2 linked regions of the Macaca fascicularis genome follow. The protein of the gene in region 1 interacts with the protein of each later gene in a pairwise test. Links are inferred from orthologs where the notes say so. Each region holds a gene or a part of one and is shown on either strand. Other genes may lie near its edges.

Evidence for each region.
Region 2: the proteins of GRAMD2B (region 1) and CD207 interact in binary tests that used the Homo sapiens proteins (3 or more experiments, as listed by UniProt). The two-hybrid records come from large-scale screens. The link is inferred for Macaca fascicularis from reciprocal best matches to the Homo sapiens genes GRAMD2B and CD207.

What each region holds. Positions count from the first base shown.
Region 1 is NC_088380.1:133,032,102-133,035,749, forward strand, and holds part of GRAMD2B (GRAM domain-containing protein 2B), read left to right. Parts: intron 1-483; coding exon 484-587; intron 588-3,648.
Region 2 is NC_088387.1:51,060,500-51,064,597, forward strand, and holds the start of CD207 (C-type lectin domain family 4 member K), read left to right. Parts: upstream 1-1,188; coding exon 1,189-1,261; intron 1,262-1,358; coding exon 1,359-1,475; intron 1,476-2,952; coding exon 2,953-3,327; intron 3,328-3,920; coding exon 3,921-4,072; intron 4,073-4,098. UniProt on the Homo sapiens protein: Calcium-dependent lectin displaying mannose-binding specificity. Induces the formation of Birbeck granules (BGs); is a potent regulator of membrane superimposition and zippering.

The DNA of each region.
Region 1 (3,648 bases):
GCAGTGATTCATCAAGGGGCCCAAAGTTCCATTCTAGCCTCTCTTGATGTGCAAAAGTTGAGGCAAGATGCTGGGTTCCTGCCATGACCTTCAGACAGAAAGTGTGGGCTATGTGCTCTTCCTCTAGTGAGGCCATCTATTTCGAAAACAGTCATTAGTGAAAATACTGGGGAAAAGGGGAACAGGTGTACTAATACCAGCACATGATAGAGGAGACTTGTAAAACGCCATTCTTGGTCTCTCAGGTACAATAGTAGATTTGCCTTTTCATTCTGATATTTATACTGAAGTTGGTAAGACTTTGAATTTAAAAACAAACTGGTCGCCACAGCTTGCTTTCCATAAAGATGACAGAAGAAGAGGCAATAAAACTTTTGAGTATGAATGAATTCTCTGCCCATCCTTGAGTCACCAAAATATATACATGGTTTTTATTTTAAATGGAAATTCTAAATGATGCTGTACCTGTGTGTATTCTCCCAGGCTTTACCTGTGCTCTACAGAAAGAAATACTATACCAAGGAAAGCTCTTTGTATCAGAAAACTGGATTTGTTTTCATTCCAAGGTCTTTGGAAAAGACACAAAGGTTGGTATAATTAAAAAATAAATTTAAAAAAGCTAACCCCATACTTTATTGTATATGGCAAATATTAATCGTCTTAAATTTAGCTATATTTATAGATACTTATATTATGGTTAATCTTTTATGCCAAGTTTCCTTTGTTGTAATGCCAAATACTATAGGTTCTAAATGCCTCCAGATGACACTAACTTCCCTTTTTCCCTAAGCATTATTTTCTCACTCATTTCTTTACATACATATACCTCACATATACACATGTACCTCACCCATAGCCATACCCTAAATCCTTTTTACTCAGATGTCACCAGCGAACACTCAAAGTTGTTTATATGGAGGGTGTGCCATGATTTTCAAACACATACATTTAAACCAAAATCATTTCTTTTAAGAAACATCAATTTTTATACCATATTTATACCAGTTATCAGTGATGTCTAGGACAGCAGGCCAATAAATAAGGTACTTATTAGCACTCCCTTTGTACCCTCACCAGCACAAAATGAGCAGGAAGTGGAGCAGTTAAGGCCTAGCCTGGGGAAGTCAGACACCCTCGATCCCAAGTGTACTCTGATACTACATCTTTTCATTATTATTAAATACAGATTTGGGGGAGTAGAGACACATGACATCCTGAGACATTAAGCAGAACAGCCTAAAGGAATTGGCACTGCCCTCTAAACTGGGGACCGTGGGACCGTGGCCTATCAAGGAAAAGATAATTCTATCCCACTGACTTTTTTTTACCTTTGAGCTACAATGTCACATCACAGTTCATTCAGGCCTCCAGAATAACACCAGAGAAACACTTCTTGGGTTTGCATGACCTCAGTGAGTTTTCAATCATTCTGATTCATGAGTGTGAAGAAGCAACTCTCATAGTCATGAAGTAGCTGATGAAAACTTCTTTTTGTTTTGAGTGGTAGATGTGCCTTATTTAAATATTCTTTCCAAAACCACTGGCAATTGCATAAAGACCACTTAACAAATCTAATAGGAATATTTTCTTTTGTCAGTGTTGGAGCTGAAGACTAGCATACTATTCTTTAGGTAAAACATGTTCTTTTTATATTGATTTTTTATCATATAGAGCTATGTTTAGATAAGCATTATTTGATTGACAGTATTATCTGAATCAGTATAATACAAATCAATATGAAGCAGTATTTCATCTATTTCTACATTTCTGGATTAAAGGTCTTGTTCATGGAATGGGGAAGGGGATTGGGTAGTACTGATCAATGTGATATAGTTCTCAGGAATTCATATAGAGCCAACATGTCTGAGCAGAGCAGCAGGGACTGAAGACACTAATGAACAAAGCATTAGTCTTTGTTAAGCGACTGGGGGATCCACAAAGGCAGTCAGTGCACTTTCAAGCTGATATGATTCTAGCAATGATTTTAAAGTTCTACTTCTACCTAAGAACTGATAAAAAGAAGTTAGAAGAAGTGACCCTGGTTTTTTGAAGACATGGATATACTAAGATTGCTTTTGCAGTGTGTAACCTACAGAGGCAGGAGACTGAAAATTAGCAGGGCGTGGGAATAAGAACCATGATAGTGACTTCTATGTTCCATCCCTTCTAAGGATGGTGTCAAAGGAGATTTGGGCTTCAGAGATGTTGCAGAATTTCCTCACTGCCAATGGACCTCAGTCCAGCGTGATCCAGTATGAGCTGAAGGCACCCAAACAATTGCTCTACCGTGGGAACTTTCTAATCAAGTTCCCCTTCTAAAGCAGTTTACCCTGGAAAAATGTTACCATTACCCTGGAAAAATATTATCATTTACCCTGGAGAAATATTAATAAAGTGTAGCCTTAATTTAATCAGGACCTTTTTAGTCAGCCTGTTGGTATTTTCAGATGCTAGTAAAATTAGCATGCATGTATCACATTCTGTCTAGGCTCAAACTGAAAAGTGATTTAAGCTTTATTTTACAAATGTTATCTGGTTGTAATTTTATACTCATGAAGCAATTGATTGAAAACTTTCTTAAGGGTGTTCCATGCCTTAGATTATGAAAAATCTAAATTTATAGCCCTTTGCCACTGTGTGTTTGTATTGCTGCTCAGAAACAAAATTAGACTCATTTTTTTTAAATTATGATCTAAGTAGATCTCAAATTCTTTTTTTCCAAATTTATCCCAACTTGTAAGTTCTGAATTGCCTCCTGCCTTTGAAAAATATTGTGAGTGGAGTTCTTTGGCAAACAGTTTTTAGAAAATGTCTCAATTGGATTATCCCTTGTTCTTCCATAGTCTTCCTGCCTAGATCATTGAGGGCAATAAATAAGCCCATCTCATAAACCCAGATGTAAATGCAAATATTCAAAATTAAAAGCTCATTTTGTGGTCAGGCACGGTGGCTCACACCTGTGATCCCAGCACTTTGGGAGGCTGATGCGGGTGGATCGCCTGAGGTTGGGAGTTCAAGACCAGCCTGGCCAACATGGAGAAATCCCGTCTCTACTAAAAATACAAAATTAGCTGGGTGTGGCTGGGCGTGGTGGTTCACACCTGTAATCTCAGCACATTGGGAGGCTGAGGTGGGCAGATCACCTGAGGTCAGTAGTTTGAGACCAGCCTGACCAACATAGAGAAACCCCGTCTCTACTAAAAATACAAAATTAGCCAGGCATGGTGGCACATGCCTGTTATCCTAGCTACTCAGGAGGCTGAGGCAGGAGAATCCTTTGAACCTGGGAGGTTGAGGTTGCGGTGAGCCGCGATCGCACCACTGCGCTCCAGCCTGGGCAACAAGAACAAAACTCCCTCTCAAAAAAAAAAATTAGCCGGGCGTGGTGGCACATGCCTGTAATCCCAGCTTCTCAGGAGGCTGAGGCAGGAGAATCACTTGAACCTGGGAGAAGGAGGTTGCCGTGAGCTGAGATCGCACCACTGCACTCTAGCCTGGGCAACAAGAGCAAAACTCCATCTTAAAAAAAAAAAAAAAAAAAAAAGCTCATTGTGCTTGCTTCCTTCAAGCTGGCAGTACTTACATAAAGCCCATCTCTTCTCCACTTTTGAGAATATGTGAGGCATTTTCAAGAAGTAGATGTTCTGT
Region 2 (4,098 bases), on another chromosome or scaffold:
GATTTGGCAGACTTCTTCAAAGCATGAGAAGTCACCCAGGAGAAAATGTAGTCCTTCACTGAGCTCCAAATAGGCTCCTCTGTGCCCTGAGCTTCTTGCACATATGGAACTCTCTATTCAGGGTTACAAGCAAGGAGAGAGGAAGTTGTGGACAGAGAGAGAGGAGAGAGAAACAGAAAGATTCCTAGTCTGACGTTGCTGAGCACCCCTACTTTGTTTGAAAAGCTCACATGCTACAGGAAGCAGGGAGGAGAACTCAAGTCTTAGGTTTACATTTTGAATCTCCAAGTTGCATATTATAAAGGAATATTGTATCAGCCAAGATGCGCTAATAACAGGAAGCAGAATATTCTATTGCAATGGTTGCTTCCTGGCTTCCCCCAACCAGTCTGTGCTCCTCACCACGATCAGAGTGATGTTTTTACAGTGTCCCTGTCCTTGTCTCTCTCCTGCCTGAAGTCCTTAATTGGCCTCATGTCACCCACGAGCTAGAGGTGAAGCTCCTTGACATGATCAGAAGGATCTTCATAATCAGACCCCAGGTGCCTCTTCCACCCTATGTGAGCCCCCTTCCTCACATTTTTGTGTATATTTTATGTTCCAGCAATATTGCCACTATTTTCAGTTTGCCAAGCACTCCATGCTATCTTAAGCTCCATCCTTTGGCATATGCTTATCTTTCTACTGCAGTTTTTTTTCCATTATTCCATTTCACACGCTTCTTTCAACTGGGCACATCTGTCTCTTGTGCAATTTATTTGCTCATGTCTGTCTTTCCCACCAGACTGTGAGCTGCTTGGTGCAAGGACTGTGAGTTATTCATCGCTGTGGCCCTATGCCTGGTACAGCATCGGTACCTAGAAGGCACTCAGTCCGTATTTGTGGGGTGAATGGATGGGTGGATGGGTGAAGAGAATCTTACAAGAGAAATGGGATAGCTTTGGGACAAGATGGTTAATGTATCTATGTAACAGACTCCCAGAGAAGACAACAGATGGCCTCTTTCTGAAAGCTCAGACTTCTGAGGAGGGGAGTAAGCCAGACAAGGTATCTAGTCAGGAATAGGGAAGTTGGGATGATATGGTGACCTAGTGTGGGACTGACTTCCTGTTTCCTCTAGATAAGAGCCCTTGGAGAGACAGGCAGCCAGAAGCACTTGTGCTTCCAGGGTAAGGGTGAGCACTCAGGATGACGGCCGAGAGGGAGGTCCCTGATGCACACTTCACTGTGGACAAACAGAACATCTCCCTCTGGCCCCGAGGCAAGCCACAGTCACTGCTGAGAACCTGCTCCGTGTTCTGTGTGCAAACCTGCCCTTTGCTACTCCTTCAACACACATTTTCTTCTTTTTCCAACAGAGCCTCCTCCCAAGTCTGGTCCATCTCTGTTCCCGGGGAAAACACCCACAGTCCGTGCTGCATTAATCTGCCTGACGCTGGTCCTGGTCGCCTCCATCCTGCTGCAGGCCGTCCTTTGTAAGTCCTCATGTTTCATCGTCTGGGCTTAGCCCCTCTCTGTGGCCAGCTGGCTCCCTCCAGATCCAGACCACTTCCCTGCTCTCCAGGTTTCTCCTGCCTCCGACTTTCATTTGTCTCCTTTCTCCTCTTTCCATGTGCAGTAACAGGGTGTGCCGCCCCCAGTACGGTGAGCTGATGCTCTTTCCCTCCCAATTTCTGGGAGATTATTGGGATCAGCATTTGCACATTGGTGCTCAAGGATACATTCTTTTGTCCTCAGGAAACATTTATCTAGTTTTTCATGCTGTGCTATTTTCTCTCCCTCCATCCCCCACCAATCTGAGCTCTGCTCCTTGGATTTGGAGCCTTGTGGACAGTCCCTGACAGTGCAATGTCTCCTGACCCTGTGAAGGACTAAGCCTCATGTGTCATTGGCCCCAACTCACCAGATGGAGAGCCTGACCAACAAGCCAACAGATCTCCATGACTCAGTCCCCTCAACAGGACCCGTTCGTGCTCTCTTCATTCTCCTGTCCCTGCAAAAATCATGTCTAGGGAGCCTTCCTACTCATTTGGTGTTGCGGGGTTTATCTTTCTTCCTCTTCTGGCTCTGTCAGGCTTCATGCCCTTTGCTGCTGGCAGAGCCTTCTTCCTCCTGCCAGGGCTCCAGCAAGCGGAGCAAGGGGACCCGAGAAGCTGTTGGGTTTGGTTTTCTCCCTCTGTGGCCTCGGGACATACTTGGTCTTAGACTTGTAGGCTCTGAGCAGAGTCCCCCTTCCCCCATCCTAGACCCCTGGCCTCTAGCATGGCATTTTCCTCAGGGCTCGCCTTTGAGCCTCTTGGTTTATCTTTGATCCTATCTCTGGTACCCAGGCCTGGGACCTGAGCAGAATGTGAAAGTGGGTAGGGCAAGGGAAGGGGAGAAACAGTTTTGTAATCTCCTTTTCCATGTTCTCTGGAGAAGAAGCCACTTCCAGATTAGTGGCTGGCTCTTCCCATGGTCACAGAGGGGCCCATGGACAGATGTGAGGGAGTGGTGCTGTCCTAGCAGACAGCCACTGCAGGGGTTTCTGAAAGCAGAGGGATGGCAACCAAGGGGTGGGGTCCAGGGGGAATCAAGTTCTGGGGAGAGTGATGGGGCTCATGGAGGGCACCCCTTTATCAAATGTTCCATGAACACTCAGAGAAATTTCAGGACTGGTTTCTAACCCCTGCTTCTGCTTGCCTGTGAAATTTTCTCACAGAGAGCCTGTGTTTCATCCATCTCCCCATTGTCTGTATCCACCTGTGTTCCTAGCACATGGTAGGTGCCCATTGCACATTTGTTGTATCTTAATGAATGATTGGAGGGTTGGGGTGGCCCATTGGACTGTCCTGGTTCTTTGGGAAGCTTCAGCCTGTTCCTTCTCTTCCCTTCCTTTGATCGACCTGACAACAGCCCCACTCCTGTCCCTGGGGCTCCCCTCAGCTGACCTCCTGACTTTCTCAATCCCAGATCCCCGGTTTATGGGCAACATATCAGATGTAAAGACCAATGTCCAGTTGCTGAAAGGTCGTGTGGACAACATCAGCACCTTGGATTCTGAAATTAAAAAGAATAGCGATGGCATGGAGGCAGCTGGCGTTCAGATCCAGACGGTGAATGTGAGCCTGGGTTATGTGCGTTCTCAGTTCCTGAAGTTAAAAACCAGTGTGGAGAAGGCCAACGCACAGATCCAGATCTTAACAAGAAGTTGGGAAGAAGTCGGTACCTTAAATGCCCAAATCCCAGAGTTAAAAAGTGATTTGGAGAAAGCCAGTGCTTTGAATACAAAGATCCGGGCACTCCAGGGCAGCTTGGACAATATGAGCAAGTTGCTCAAACGACAAAGTAAGTGACTCAGAAAATTACATTGAAGCCGACCAGCGGCCCATGAGATCTTACCTGTCCCAGACCTGAGGTCACTGGGCTGGTGGGTTAGGGAGGAGGCCGGGGGGAAGAGAGGGGCAGCCATGGACTAGGAAGTTAAGGAGGGAGGGCTTGAGGTTGGGAAGGACTTAGGCGCGGTTAGGAGAAAAGAGACCAGGGTCCAGCTAGAGTTCCCACACCAAAGTGCAGAATGTAAAAGCATTAGGGGCTGTCCACCCTGGCCCATACCTAGTCATTTCTCATCAAGTTCCTTTCTAGAGTCCAGGGGCTCAGCCACTTGTCATGGCCGATGGAGGGTTGCTTCCCCTCATGGGAAAGACACTCTTTGTCCATCCTCTTGCATTCTAACCTCTCCAGTCCCAAACACTCTATTAGTCTCTGTCTGACTTTCAGGATTTGAAAGAGTGTCCCAAATCCCCTACACAAGGAGCCAAGGACACCAGAGCACAGCTCCATTTGCTGCTGTCTCTGAGACCTCATTCAAGTGCCCCCACCAAGCCAGCACCCCAAGAAATCAAGAATACCAGTATTCACTTTTACCTCTTGTTCTCTAGATGACATTCTACAGGTGGTTTCTCAAGGCTGGAAGTACTTCAAGGGGAACTTCTATTACTTTTCTCTCGTCACAAAGACCTGGTATAGTGCCCAGCAGTTCTGTGTGTCCAGGAATTCACACCTGACCTCGGTGACCTCAGAGAGTGAGCAGGTGAGTGTTGTGCCTGTGGGCTCTGG